3 linked regions of the Caenorhabditis elegans genome follow. The protein of the gene in region 3 purifies or fractionates together with the protein of the main gene of each other region. This does not show direct contact. Each region holds a gene or a part of one and is shown on either strand. Other genes may lie near its edges.

The links.
Region 1: the proteins of F13C5.2 (region 3) and C02F12.8 fractionate together in Caenorhabditis elegans (co-fractionation; one large-scale study listed by BioGRID). This does not show direct contact.
Region 2: the proteins of F13C5.2 (region 3) and Y54F10BM.3 fractionate together in Caenorhabditis elegans (co-fractionation; one large-scale study listed by BioGRID). This does not show direct contact.

Annotation. Positions count from the first base shown.
Region 1 is NC_003284.9:3,689,595-3,695,190, forward strand, and holds C02F12.8 (uncharacterized protein), read right to left. Parts: upstream 3,645-5,596; 5' UTR 3,640-3,644; coding exon 3,538-3,639; intron 3,485-3,537; coding exon 3,233-3,484; intron 2,911-3,232; coding exon 2,401-2,910; intron 2,083-2,400; coding exon 1,613-2,082; intron 1,565-1,612; coding exon 1,257-1,564; intron 1,212-1,256; coding exon 952-1,211; intron 898-951; coding exon 736-897; 3' UTR 549-735; downstream 1-548.
Region 2 is NC_003281.10:2,280,456-2,285,138, forward strand, and holds the start of Y54F10BM.3 (Tyrosine-protein phosphatase domain-containing protein), read left to right. Parts: upstream 1-1,569; 5' UTR 1,570-1,630; coding exon 1,631-1,703; intron 1,704-2,639; coding exon 2,640-2,691; intron 2,692-2,743; coding exon 2,744-2,818; intron 2,819-3,341; coding exon 3,342-3,636; intron 3,637-3,775; coding exon 3,776-3,929; intron 3,930-4,683. Other genes in the region: Y54F10BM.22 (Neuropeptide-Like Protein), read left to right, coding at 466-629, 1,131-1,266.
Region 3 is NC_003284.9:592,236-596,854, reverse strand, and holds F13C5.2 (Bromo domain-containing protein), read right to left. Parts: upstream 2,896-4,619; 5' UTR 2,876-2,895; coding exon 2,801-2,875; intron 2,710-2,800; coding exon 2,380-2,709; intron 2,139-2,379; coding exon 1,977-2,138; intron 1,927-1,976; coding exon 1,557-1,926; intron 1,256-1,556; coding exon 1,068-1,255; 3' UTR 555-1,067; downstream 1-554. Other genes in the region: F13C5.3 (Peptidase_M13 domain-containing protein), read left to right, coding at 1-150, 394-541.

The sequences.
Region 1 (5,596 bases), 3.1 Mb from region 3:
CACAGCAGTGCACATAGGATACGTTGACAAGACCCGATGAATGTGATGACGGTGAGCATAACGCTGCCGAAATGTGTACGGATTGATTGAAAAATAGATTAAGGGGGCTATCAATTTAGATTTATTGCTTTAATTTTTCAATTTGTTGTAAGCCATAAGGAAAAAATGAGCAAAAGTTGTATCCTCTTCGATAGCGTTTTTTTTTTTCAAAAGATTTCGTCAGCCTAATTTCAAAACATACAGATTGGATAAAATGTTTCAATTTCAAAAATATTTCGTAGACAAAAATAGCTATATTTAACTTCTTCATCTAGTTTCACTTAAGCACGATCTCTTTTGATTTTTTGATTTTGATTTTGATTTTGGGAATTAAATGTTTGAGGTAATAATAAATAATCAACAAAATAATAATGTCCGTCTGTCCAGTTTGCCTAATTTGTTTGTGAAGTCAAAAACGCGTCTCTTGAGTTATTCAACCCTTTCTAAACTTGAATTTAAAATTGGTAGAAGTTTGAAACTGGTTAGAGCCTCTGAAAAGATGAAGAAATACAAGACTAGACATTTTTATTCTAAAAATCTCAATACATAAATTGATTTACCCATAAAGTCAATAAATTAAAATTGAAGACAATGACACGTAATTAAATGGACTGAAAAATACAACTGAATGGTCATGGTTAATCACAGTTAAAACATCTGATCACTGGGTACAATGTGTACAAACAATAACGGAATCTAGAAAAGGTTGAAGAAAATTTCTTCGTAATACTCTAATTTGTCAGTAGAATCGCTGGTGAGACCGGCCAAAAAGCATAGTTCCGGAAGAATAGCTGGCGGCAAGTTCAGCTGAAGTTGCTCGTAGATTGTAATACGCGAGAGACTTTGCGGACGTTGAACCTGTAAATAGTCAGTTTGAGACACTTAAAAGTACCAAAATTCATTAAAACTCACCATTTTGAATGCCAAAATGCGTTTTTCAATAAACTGTAACACTTTGTTCATTTCATTCGAATTTTCTTCCCAAGTTTTCACAAAAGTATCCACCGTTTCATAGAATTTTTGATATGAGAAATTTTCGTGAAAAATTGGACGACCCGATTCTGAAATCTTCTTTGCTCTGTTAGCAATTGCCATTTGAACTGCATGCAGGATTTGGGGACTGATCAACGATGGCGGTGGATTCGAGACGGGTCTTTTTCCTCGCTTCTTTTCTGAAATTGAAAATATTAGTACCAAATGGCGATGATGAATCTCACTTTGGTCTTTCTGTCCTGAGCTTGAGTAGTCACCACCAGCTTGCTCCACATGCTTCTGTCTTTCTCGATATGCTGCTTCCAGTACATCGTCATCAGTTTCCAATTGATTTGCCTTCTGTGCAGCCATAAGGCGCTTTTCTTTTTTTGTCAACTTTTTCCTGGCGTCGGGTAGAGCAATAGTTGATGCTTCTTTGCTATCCTCGTCAATGGTGGAAGCGGCCAAAGTCTGCTGACATTTTTGCAATGGTTTTTCGACTTTTGACAATGGCAGCGGGTAGACGAGTTTTTGTGTTTTCTGTGGTACAAAACTGAAAATTACAGAATTTATCATTTTAGCAGTAATATCAAAAAATCACCATTTCTTCCTGCCCGTCGCCTCCTGCCATGATTCCAAAACGTCATCCGACGTATCCAGATACTTAATGATTTCAGATATTGACGTATCCCTGTCATCATCAACAATCAACGAGTCAGTCGTCATTTCAGATACAGGTTCAGATTTGATTTCAACTACGCTCATGTTATCCGAGTGTTCCAAAGTTTCCGGCTCAATCAGTGTTTTCGAAAGATCAAGGTTCTCCATTATATCATCAACATCATCTAATGGTGGCATTTCAGACATTGTACTGCTATAAGGTTCTGGCTCATTTGCAACACTTTCCGTGTCTACTGAATCCAAGTCGCAATCTTGCTGACCAACAGGCGTCAACGTTCCATAATCTTCGTCTTCCGATTCTTCCCTGACACTATCAGTCATGGGTGATAACGAACCATTTCCAACACTAGATCCATTGATGGGCGGTCTGCTGGACATAGATATGTCGCTCTGAAAAAACCATTTTGTAATATAGCATTATAAATTAGTCAAGTGCTGCGTGAGTGTGTTCAAGTTTAAACATTTGATCATTATCACTTTCAGGAACATTTAATGATAGTTGTCATAAATTTAGGAGTGTGTCTGATATTCATGGTCAGACAAGAAGCGGGTTACTAAAATGGTTTTAGATGCAAACCAGTTAATCTCCCAACTTTTAAATTTTTCATATAACTTCCCTAAAAGCGGTCATGTTCAAATTTTCAAATTCTGGCATACCCAAGCAGCAGTTAAGTTGTTTTTGTTGTAGTCGATAATATTGTTTATTACCTGTCCGGAAGAAAACGATTGTGATGAGCATACTGATGATCCCGATTGTGACATGGAAACGACGCATACAGGTGCGCTGACAACTCGACAATATGCAACTCCATTGTTATCATAAATAATGTCTGGGAATCCTTCGTTGGCAGGTGGACCAGAATATTGACTGTAAGACGGTGATGGAAAGATGGGAGACGAGAATCCATATCCAGAAGGTGGCTTTGAAGTATCAATTTGAGGTGGTGACATTGAATACGATCCTTGCGAAACCATTACAGCTCCGACTGGCATCATGGTTGGTGGAGCTGGCACAAATTGGGGAGGATTGTAATTCTGGGAACCAACAGGCACGTGTGGATGCATAGGCTGGTTTACAATCTGTGGGTGTGCAAATCCTGAATTCGACGCTGCCAAATCCATAGTGTATGGAGGAACAGGTTGCGGAAAGACGTTTGGATTTGATGCAAACTGTGCCGGAGGTGGCATGTAATTACCATGTTGAGCAAATGGGTGTACCTGAAAATTGCAATTGTTTCAAAGTTTTAAAGAAATTCTTATGGCCTTGGGGTTTTTAAACAGTGAAAAACTACATTTCTAAAAATTAAAACTTGTTTACTCCTCTCGATTGAAAAAAAAACCGATTTTTTCCATTAAATCAACGAGTTTCTAAAATCATTAAAAGTTTAATTGTCAGCTTTTAGTTTCGCCGTTCGCTTAATTTTTATTGCAATCTAGTATTCCCATTTCAAAAAATTATCAACGAAATAAGCTTTCAAATTGCCTGAGATTGGAAATTCTCAATATCTCATGAACAAACTTTTCAAATTGAAAAACAAACCTTAAATGAAGCATCCAACGTGCTCACCAAATTGTTCTGATATCCGCAATTTTGATAAGGATTTGGGCACTGATTATTTTGGACGGGAGCGGCGAACTGTTGCTGCATGAGATCATCAACGTCTTTTGAGTTCAACAGAACCTCATTCTCAAAATTCCACAGCGCAATAGGATCATTTGATTCAAAAGCTCTTTGAACGATTTCCCCGTAACTTGGATCCAGACGATGAAGATTATTGTAGGAAAAGAGAATCTGTAAAAAATTATTATATATAAGAATATACAAACGCTCTAAACATTATGTACCTTCTCCAATTGATTTCTTCTTTGAACACTATTCCTGAGAAAGTCCTCATGTACTTCACTCGAGTGTCCTTCGGTTTTCCAGCGAGATCTATCGTTTTGCATAGCTTCTGAACAAAGTTAACATGAAAATTTGTCAGAGTTTAAAACAACTGATAGGTGCAATATTGAGAGCCTGTTAATAATTGAAAATTTAAATTGTAGGAAAAACCGAATAAAAAAAACATATAATTTAGTGCTTACAACATTCAGTTTTACTATTTATTTTATGAGTAAAATTATAACGAATAGAAGCTGGCGGTGTCACATTTCAAAACTAGATCAAAAGATTTGCTGAATTAAAATAAAAAAGAGAAATGTTATAGCTATTTGTTTGTTTTTAACCTACTCTTGTTACCGCAAAAAAACATTGTGAGCATTTTACACAAAATTATATAATTTTTGAATTTCCTTTGCTAGTAATTGTTGGGAAAAATCAAAACAAATTCTTGAAGCTAGATTGCATTCCAAGTAACATGGTTAGTTCAAAACATAGAATTTTATGAGAAATTCAAACTTTGAAAGAATCATGCATCGCGTTGGGGCTCTCGAAAAATAATGTCTAGGTATCTAGATAGCTAGATTCATATCATAGCTATAGATTTAATTTTTGCTTGTAACTACAATTGTGGAAAAATGGGAATATAAGAGTACCATTGAAAAAAATAGCACAATGTATAAATTGCACGGTTGGCATGCAAAATTTTGGTTGGAAATTCAATGAGTAGAGCTAAAAAAGTTTTAGTTTTGCCCAAGGATAAAAAAAAGGAAACCTGACTCAATTTCTGTCAGTGGAATTTCTAATTTGGTTAGTGCATTCTGATTTGGTCAGTGCAATTACTAATTTGGTCAGTGCTTTTCGACTTTGGTCAGTGCTTTTCTATTTTGGTCAGTGCTTTTCTATTTTGGTCAGTGCTTTTCTATTTTGGTCAGTGCATAATTTTAATTTCTAACCTATTATCTGATTGAAAAAAAATTAGGAGGAACGAAGTTGAAAACTGAGGTGAACAAATGAAAGTGAAAAGACGCGCACGCAGGTGGTGGTGCTTAGTGTTTATCGTCACCCACAACAATAACTGGGTGGGTAATATGGTGAGGAAGAGGACTCGTTGGACAGGGCAAAGGGCCCCTCGGCGGATGCCACGCACGCAGCACACAAAACCCCCCTACATTCGTTCGCGCGCACACTCATAGAACACTCACACACACGCACACACACGCTCACATATAGCCAACTGCACCCCCACGTCAACAAAACACAAACACACAAACACGCACACACATGCGCTCACACGACGACACGGCATCCAGAGGCACTAGCGCAGTTAATTTTTGACGCTCTAGACTAACAATGGGACTCTTTTAACTCAATGAACATATGACAAATGTTCACGGATTCTCGTGTGATTGCGCACGAAACAGAGCGTTACGGTGGGCGCAAGGCCGTTACGGAAAATGGTAATGACGGTCATAGGTCCAATTATTATACATATGTGATAGTAAAATGTAAACAAAAACTAGCATGTTCGCAGTAAGTTTCAGAATGTAGAGAAGAAAACAGAAATCTATGTGGAAATATAATCTAGCAATCATCCTGGAACTTATCAAATGCTTTCAATGTACGACAGGTGCTAAAAAATGTAAAAATGTAGCAGAAATTTCACAGAAAAGGTAAACTAAAATCATAAAAGAACTCGCACCCCCAATTTCGCAAGAATAATTGTAAAAAAAAACAGAAGGGAGGTCATGGATATTTTTAGTGCAGCGCGAGTAGATCAAAAAATTTTAATAAAAATTGCATCACAATTTTAATATTTATAATTGCTTTAAATGATAGAAAATGGGCTGTAAGGACAGATTACGACTGTAAAAAAATTATAAACTTTTTCTAAATTTTTTATGATTTCGGCCGAATTAAATTTAAATTTCTGCGCAAATGAGTGACGTCATTTTTTATACTTTCGCGTTCTCTCGCTTTCTTCGCCGTTTTTTTTTTTAATATTTTTTCTTCTATATCTTCTAT
Region 2 (4,683 bases), on a different chromosome or scaffold from region 3:
GAACCCGTAAAACTACAGTACCCCATAACTTTCCGTGTAGAGACCCAAAAAATTTTTGTTTTTTTTTTTGAAAAATTGGAAAAAAATTTTCAAAATTTTTTTTTTCAAACTTAAATTAATTTTACTGATTTTGTTGAAGTTTTTCGCTATATTAAAATTGATTTTAAAAAATCTGCACCCATTGCTTAGGTGCAAAATGTATCCCTCTACCCCTTTTCAGGTACACTAAGAATTCAGCGAATTCAGATTTGCCAAACATCAAAACAATGGAATTTTTCATTGTTTCTCACGTGTAGCAACTGATAAAAACTGATAAAAGATATCAAAATTGATCCTATGACGTCATCATGTCTTATGACGAATTCCACCCCCCGCTGACTGTGAGAAAAGTATTTAAAAACTTGATTTTTCAAGTTTTTCCCTAAAAACTTTTTACACTTTCTCTATGTAAAAGTTCAAAAAAACATGCGAAAAACTACAGTAACCTTATTATTTTTGATATTTTTTATTCAAATTTCTGAAATTCTGACTCTACCTATCAATTATGGTGCATCGTTGAACTCTGTACACTCGGATGACCTGAGTGCTGAGGATTATCAAGTTTTGAGGAAAAATGAGACAAAAATTGAGTAAGTTCATTGATTTTTTGCTAATAGAAAGGTTTTTGAAATTTTGGAAAAATTAAAAAAAAAATTTTTTTGAAAAAAACTTGTTTAAAAATAATAATTCCGCCAAATTATCGATTTTTTTGGTCGAAATCTCAAGTTTTAAATGTTTTCTTTAATTTTATTGAATTCAGCGTCATTGATTACCCCTATCCCAAAATTTTGGGCCTTCTAGCTCAATTTTCAAGAATTGGCTGAGTAGCGACCCATTGCGATACGGAGTTTGGTCAGTTTTAGTGCAAATGGCTAAAAATTTAGGATTCTGGGTTTCCAAGTATGGCAAATTTAATGATAATGTTAGTTTTTCAAAACTATGACTCCGTATCGCAGTTCTGAGTCGCTACTCAGCCAAATTTCAAAATTTTGAGATTTTGAGCTAGAGCTCTGAAAACCTATAGATAAGGGTAATCAATCACGCTGAATCCAAAAATAACTTCTAAAACCAAAAATTTTAATTTTTTCCAGAAGAATCCACAGAATTCAGCAATTTTTCAAAGCGGAGCACCACGAATCCACGTGGCGAGACTCGATTTGCAGTGCATTCCACTCGTTTTCACTGTTCCCGCCAAACTGCTTTGCGGCTCCGCCAAACGACAAATAAATCGATATTATTGATTTATGAAATGACATGATTTTTTTCTACGACGCACAATAAATTTTTGTGATTTTCTGATTTTTTTTGATTTTTTTTTGGGTCTCGTCACGAAAAGTTGTGGGGTACTGTAGTTTTTACCGGAATTTCTAAAATTTTTATTTTATCTTTTACGTGGGTAGTTTTCGCACATTTTAAGCCAAAAATGAACAAAATATCTCAAAAACTAAAAAAGTTACAAAATTTTTAAAAAATTGAATAAAAACGTAAAAACTCAAAAATTGCCAAAAAACATTCCACGTCGGGAACCACGTCGTTTGATTTTCGAAAGTCGATAAATCGATATTGAAAAATTTATTTCACAATATTCAAGATGAAATTGTGGTCGATTTTATTGGTGACCATATCGATTTTTGGCATCTGCCACGTGGAACCATATGAGCTAAGTAAGTACGGGGGTTTGACGCCAAGATACGGTTCGATTCTACAAAATTATCGGATTTTTCGGGAAATTATCGATTTTCTTGAGAAATTATCGATTTTCTGGCGGAAATATCGATTTTCTTGCTAAATTATCGATTTTCTTGCGAAATTATCGATTTTTTCGCGAAATTATCGATTTTTTCGGGAAATATTGATTTTCGGGAAATTATCGATTTTCTGGCGAAATTACCGATTTTTCGCGAAATATTGATTTTTTCGCGAAATATTGATTTTCGGGAAATTATCGATTTTTTCGCGAAATTATCGATTTTTCGCGGAATTATTGATTTTCTGGCGAAATTATCGATTTTCTTGCGAAAATATCGATTTTCTTGCGAAATTATCGATTTTTGGCGAAATTATTGATTTTCTTGCCAAATTATCGATTTTTCGCGAAATTATTGATTTTCTTGCGAAATTATCGATTTTCTCACGTGTCGAAAAGTTGCCCTTATTTTTTATTTCTGTCAAGAATGCAATTTCAGGATTTAATATAGGAAGAGGCAGATTTTCTTGCGAAATTATCGATTTTTTCGCGAAATTATCGATTTTTTTCCCGAAATTATTGATTTTCCAGGAAATTATCGATTTTTAAAAAATTATCGATTTTTAAAAAATTATCGATTTTTAAAAAATTATCGATTTTTAAAAAATTATCGATTTTTTGCGTAATTACTGATTTTCGATAAATTATCGATTTTTTCGCGAAATTATCGATTTTTGATATTTTCGATGAACACGTGGAGTTTGTTATTTATTTCTTTTTGAAAATGACGTGGAGAGGACGGTAAAAAAAAGCCACGTGGCCATTGCGATTGCGAAATTATCGATTTTTGATAATTTATCGATTATTCGCGAAATTATCGATTTTTCAACAAAAATTTATTGATTTTTTCCAGGTTTCGTCGATTGGCCTACACCCGCCCCGCCGACCTCAACAACTCCACCAGTGTAAGTCTATCCGTTGTCCCGTTAGTTTATCCCGATGACCGCTCTTTTTCAGATCCTCAACCAAACCACCACCTGCTGAACAGTTTAATTCGCTGACCGACATTCTCGACCTAATTCCAATCGAAGTGTAAGTTGTGAAAATTTGACATCGATAATTGCTCGGCGGCGAAAAATTGGTTTTTTTTTTTCGAAAAATCGATAATCTATGTTGATTTTATTGATTTTTTTGGTCGGATTTTTGAAGAAAAATCAATAATTTTTATTGATTTTTTGTTCAAAAAATCGATAACTTGCGTCATTTCTTTTATCGAAAATCAGTAATTTCGCAAAAAAATCGATAATTTCGCAAGAAAATCAATAATTTCGCAAGAAAATCGATAATTTCGCGAAAAAATCGATAATTTCGCAAGAAAATCGATAATTTCGCAAGAAAATCGATAATTTCGCAAGAAAATCGATAATTTTGCAAGAAAATCGATAATTTTGCAAGAAAATCGATAATTTCGCGAAAAAAATCGATAATTTCGCGAAATTATCGATTTTCTTGCGAAAAAATCAATAATTTCACGAAAAAGTCGATAATTTCGCGAAAAAAATCGATAATTTCGAAAGAAAATCGATAATTTCGCAAATTTTCTGTAATTTTTCAGCTGGCTTGTTGTACTTTTCCTGGAATCTGCGTTTGTTGGAGCATTTGGAGCATATTGCTACTGGAAAGTTCAACAATGGCGCGACGAGAAAATGGCAAGGGAAAAGGCTTGGGAAAGGCGTCTGGCACGAGTTTCTGAAGTTTCGGCTTCGAAAAATCGAAACGCTGGAGGTGTGGATCCTGCAAAAAGACCGAGAGAATCAGCCAAATGGCTGAAACATGTAAAGGAGGTGACGCTGAAACGGGGTGGAGTCGAGCTGCTGCCGATGGAGGATGTGATCGTGAAAAATAAAGAGGTAGAGATTTTTCCGAAAAAATTTGAAAATTTACGTGTCAAAAATCAAGGAAAAATCTTGAAAATGAACAAAGTTATGGGTTTTCGAAAAAAAAATTTTTTTTTGAAAATTTTTTTTGTAAAAAAATTTGTTTTTTCAGAAATTCAAAAAGCCACAAAATGAGCTTCGAGAAAATGAAGTGTGGGTGGAAAGACAAACGGGCCCTGATATTGATAAAGATTCGGACCCAAAGACGGAAAATGCATTGGATGAGCAGGATTATCAGCTGGAAGATGGATGGCACGGCAAGTCAGGTATGGTTTTAAAATCAGGTTTTAAGAAATTTTACTTTAAACATTGCAAGTTATTAAATTAAACATTAAACTCACAAAAAGATTGCGCTCATTTTAAGACTATATTCAATCGAATATCTTTAAAATTCGCAGAGTTATGTAGTTTTGAAAATAAAATTTGAAAATTTGAAATTTTTTTTTAAATTTTTATTTTCTTGAAAGCTCGAGCTAACTTTCAATTCAAAACCGATTTGGCGTGAATTTTCAGATTTAGCACGCCTAGAGCTTTCAAATAACACCCATCATGACTAGGTTTCGCCTGTTTTGGGTCCCCAAGTTTTCAAAGTGGACGGAGCTTAGTCAATATGGGTGTTAAATGGAAAGTCTTGACACGCTGAATTAAAAAATGAGCAAAAAATTGTAAAAATTTTTTATGTTTTCCAAAAATCTCAAAAAAAAATTTTTTTTTTTTTAATTTTTTTCTAAATTTTTAGACTTTTTTTGCACCAACTGAGAAATAATTAACAAATTCAAAATAATCACATTGAGACCTTTAAAATAAAACCCATCATGACTAGGTTCCGCACATTTTGGGTCCCGCCACGAAAATGCCGCCGGGAGTACTCTGGTTTTCGTGGTGGGACCCAAGAATTTGCAATTTTTAATCTGAAACGTTCAAATCGGTTTCGTAGAAAATTTTAAAAGTTTTTGAAACAAAAATTTTGAAAAAAAATTTTTTTTTCGAAATTAATTTTTTTTGGAAATTTTGAAATTT
Region 3 (4,619 bases):
ATTTAATCCAAAAACTGAAACATACAGTTACGTGAAGGAGAATGCATTAATCAACACAGTTCATCCCAGATACTCACTCATTGCTTTTCAAAAATCCAAGCCTTACTTTACATTTGAAAAAATGAAACGTAAAACTGCAACCAAAATTATGTAAGCTCGTCAAAGATTTAAAGGTTTTGAAATTTTATTGATATCATAACCAGGAGTGGACGGCAAATTTTTTTGTCGACGAATTTGGCAAATCAGCAACATGCTGGTTTGCCGATTTGCCGATTTGCCAAAACTTTTCAATTCCGGCAAATTTCCGAATAAATTTAAAAATTACAAATTTTTTCGTAGATTTGCAAAACGCATCCGCTCATTCCTTTAATTAATATTCTAAATTATTTTCAGCGATGTCAAGCAAAACCTGGACACTAAAGCAAAAAATCTCTGGTCATCATTGTTGGATCAACAATTTACATTAGCCATTCATGTGCACAATCAGGAACTTTTCCCATTTGATCAATTTTTCATGACATTGAAGCCACCAATTGACTGATTAACAAGAATTGAAAAAAAATATTTATTTTGATGTAATTTATTTTTTTGAACATTTGATTCAAAATACAGATTGGAGATAAATTTTTATATAGTACTATATTGCTGATTTGTGCTCATTTATTTTGTGAGTGGGGGAATGATTTCCGATTGGAAAAGTTTGGTGGACCAAATTGAGGTATAAAATGAGGAATAGGGTGGAAAGGGAAACGCTGAAAAAGCATTAATTGTCAAATAAATTCATAAGGGTCGATTGAGATTCATAATACAAAAAGAAGTATCGGGATAATGTTTCTTACAACTGAAGGAACTGCATGACAAATTGGAATACTTTAGGAATAATCTCTAAATGAGTGGGTGGGTATTTAAGAGATGCATACATTGGTCCAAGTTGAAAATTGTTTACAAAAAGCGGCTGGGAATCAGTTGACATGGTTTTAGTGTGAAATAAAAGATGATTACTGTTTTGAATTCGTTTTTATCAGTATACTGTATTCCCAACAGCATTTCTGAAGTTGAATTTGTGCCTAGGCATGACTCTCTCCCGTAGTGGAGTCTGCGGCATGTCCGGCAATCTCCGACTCGCCGATGTGTATCGGGTGTGCTCCTGAAATTTCTCCCAGAGCTTGAGCTTCGGATGACTGAATTGAGGAATGCTCGGCAGCTGGCTCTGGCATCGCGGCTTCTGGATGCTTGGCGACTGGAGCTGATGTTGCTGCAAATGAAATGTTGGTTTACATGGGTTGATGTTTAACTTTAAAAAAAAACCAATTCAGCGCAAGTGTCTATGCGGTATATAGTGGCGGAGGTGTGTGATTTATATTCAAAAAGGTTTTTGTAAAATCTAGTACGACGGTGGATGTCTCCGACGTCCAAAATCTTCCAGCTACATCGGGCACCTGCGCACACTGTTTAATCATCACTATCACGAATTTCTGCTTATTCTTATTCTCTTAAGCGCTATACTGTTTCTTCAGGTCATAATTTGTTATAATAGATTTTCTTCTGAAACTTACATGCTGGTATGTGACGCCTGACGTCATCATCGTCAAGACCATCCTCTTCATCACTGGAATCTTCCTCCTCCTGTTCTTCTCGTTCATCTTCATGATCCTCTTCTTCCTTCTCATCTGGCTGCTCAGGTTCTTCAGCAGGTTTCTCTTCTGCATTGTCTTCTTTTACTTCTTCTTCCTTTTCTTTTTCATCAACCTCTTCCTCGTCATCTTCATTGTCACTTCCTTCTTTTTCACCTTTCTCCTGTCCAAAACTGTCTCCGTCCTCTGGGAATTCCTTCTTCCATTTGGCAGCAAATTTTTTGCGGAATTGAAGAGCAAAATCAGCTACTGGATCCCCTTCATTGTTGTAAGTGAGACAATTGTTGATCATCTGCAGTTAATAAAAATTAATATCAACTTTTAACAAATCTTAAAACTAACTAATTTGAAGTCTTCCTTGAACTCAACTGCAGTGTCGTACTCCTCGCCGATCAACTTCTTTCTGATGGTTGACATGTCCATTGGCTTCTTGATGACCTCGTGATAGTCGGTGAGGCCAAGTAGGACAACGTCAACTGGCTTACGGAATGGAAATGTGAAGGACTGAAACACATTGTGTAATTCTAGATTGTTCTGCTTCAGTTTCAACTTTCAATTTTAACATAAATTATTTCATTTGATATAGTTTCCAAGATTGATTAAAAATTGTGCGTCGTATAATAAATTGAAAATAATCTAGATTAATATTAAGTGGTTTTAAAATTTTGTGACAGAAACAGAAAGGTTAATTTCTGACCATAGTTTTTTTTAATATAGAAGCTCTTTCACCAAAAAAAAAACTTACATCATGTGTGCTTTTCTCAAACTCTTTCAAAATCGACAGACACTTCTTCAGCTCGTCATGAAGATGGTCCGACTCAGCCTCATCTTCAGACTCCGACTTTGCCTTCTTCTTTCTTCCACGCTTGGCTGGCGGACCTCCTGCTCCGCCGTCTGAATTCTTGGATCCACGTGGACGTCCTCTCCCACCACGGCCAGTTCCTCCTCCTCGGGTGCTTTCACCACCTTCAACGGTTGCCCCAGCGGCGGTGGCTCCTCCGCGGCCACGGCCGCGTCCTCGTCCGCGGCCACCACGTCCACGACCAGATGGGGTCCTTTTTGATTTGAAATCGTCCTGTAATGTTGTTTTTATAGTTCTGAGTAATTATATTTGATAAATTATTTTTTTACACATTGGTTTTAATATGTTGATTTGCTAAACACACCTCTTCTCCGTCATCACTATCCGGTGAGATCGCTCTTTTTGGAGCTGGATGATTTGCACTTCGAGTAGTTGGCATTTTCCGGTAGTGAAATTTGCCTGAAACAACAAATGTATCATTTTTCTAATCGATAAATTGACCAAATCAAGAAAATACGTCGTTTTTTGTCATAGAGGATAATAGAAATTGTTTAATGGTTACTAGGGTTCAATAATTTCAAATTTGAAAAAGCGAACAATAAACTGAAAGAGGTATTGTTGGTATAAACAAACGCGAAAAAAAGAAGAGCAACACAAACTGTGAATGAATACTAAAGGCCCACCACTACTACACACTGGCCACCGCTGAGAGAACAGAGAGACCACTGGTTTTCAAGAGTACATCAAGTCAAGAGAGTACAGAGAAACGACAGAACGCTGCCCATGTGGTTGTTGTCTCTATGCGAGTAGCTCTGTGCTCGGGGGCCGATGTCGTTGCCGATGTGCCCAGTCCGCCAGAAGCAGAGAAACGAGAGTTGTGAAGGTGAGAGACACTGGTGGCATAAAAGAGTGGTCGGAGAAGGGCAAGATGCTGGGTTACATTGAAGGCAGGGCAGCTGGGCGAAGAACAGAGAAGGAGTATGGATGTGTGAGCGTAGATGAGGAGGGGTTGTTTCTTCTCACTCTAGGGTCTCTCGCTCTCTGTGACGTTGTTGTGTCTCTCTATTTCTCTTCTCCTTTTCTTCCCGCTCTCGTTTTGGCTATTTACCCATTCTCACTAGATAACAACTGGAGATAGATCCCCCAGCCGCTCTCGCGCGTTTTGGACTTAGAAGGTAATTAGTGTGTGCGCACCTGCAAAATATGTTAGTTTGGATGGATTTCCAGGCAATGGAATGTCAATGTGAGAACGGGGCTCCGGGGCTAATAAAAAAGAATAAGATGGATAGGGTTATGAAAACGAAGGAAATGGCAGAATGAAAAACAACAAATCAAGATAATAGGAAACAATAAACTTTTTTTGTGAGAATTTTCAGTTGTCTTTTTGAATTTGTAACTAATATTTATGATAGTCGAGCAATTATAGACATACTCAGTTTTTCCCCAACAAAGATTTTGCAATTTTACTAGCAAAAAATTACGCTACTGAATATCCAAAATTGAGAATTACGCGTCTCGTACATCTATACTAAACGAAATTTTGTCCGGCAGAGTATAATTGAAGGTGGGTTTTGCGTATCTGACCGGGTGACACCACTATACTCGCTAGATATTTTGGGAATATTTTGGGTTTTAATAAGCAAGATTAAATTTTAATACATTTTTGAGTGATATTGGATAAGTACATTATCTAAGTATATAACTGTTGTGTGAGTTTTAAGCCGAAGAATCAGGAAATTGGATTTTAATTATTGACTTATCAGACGGATAAATCAAAAAACATATCACAAAATTTCTGAGAAAGAATTTTGAGTTTTCAAACTTCCCTAGTTTCATGTGAACCGGCATATGGTCGGTTTTCTTTTGATTTCAACTTTTGAAAAATTATACTTCTTAAACGTTTTTCTAATCGGTATTGTGAGTCCTGACACCAAAACCACTAAAAATATACATTTTAATCATGACCTACAAAAACTTTCTATCTACTAGTTCACTGATACAGGTGCTACACCCGTTTAATCGGTACCGTGAATTTGCACTGGTGCAGTGAACAATTTTTAGTGTACGGTTTGTTGCCGAAAAAAATTTTTGTATACATGGATACTGACTGCACAAAAAACGAAATTTAAAACTATTAAGAAATAATATGGTTAGTTATTTATCTTTTAGGTATGTCAATTATA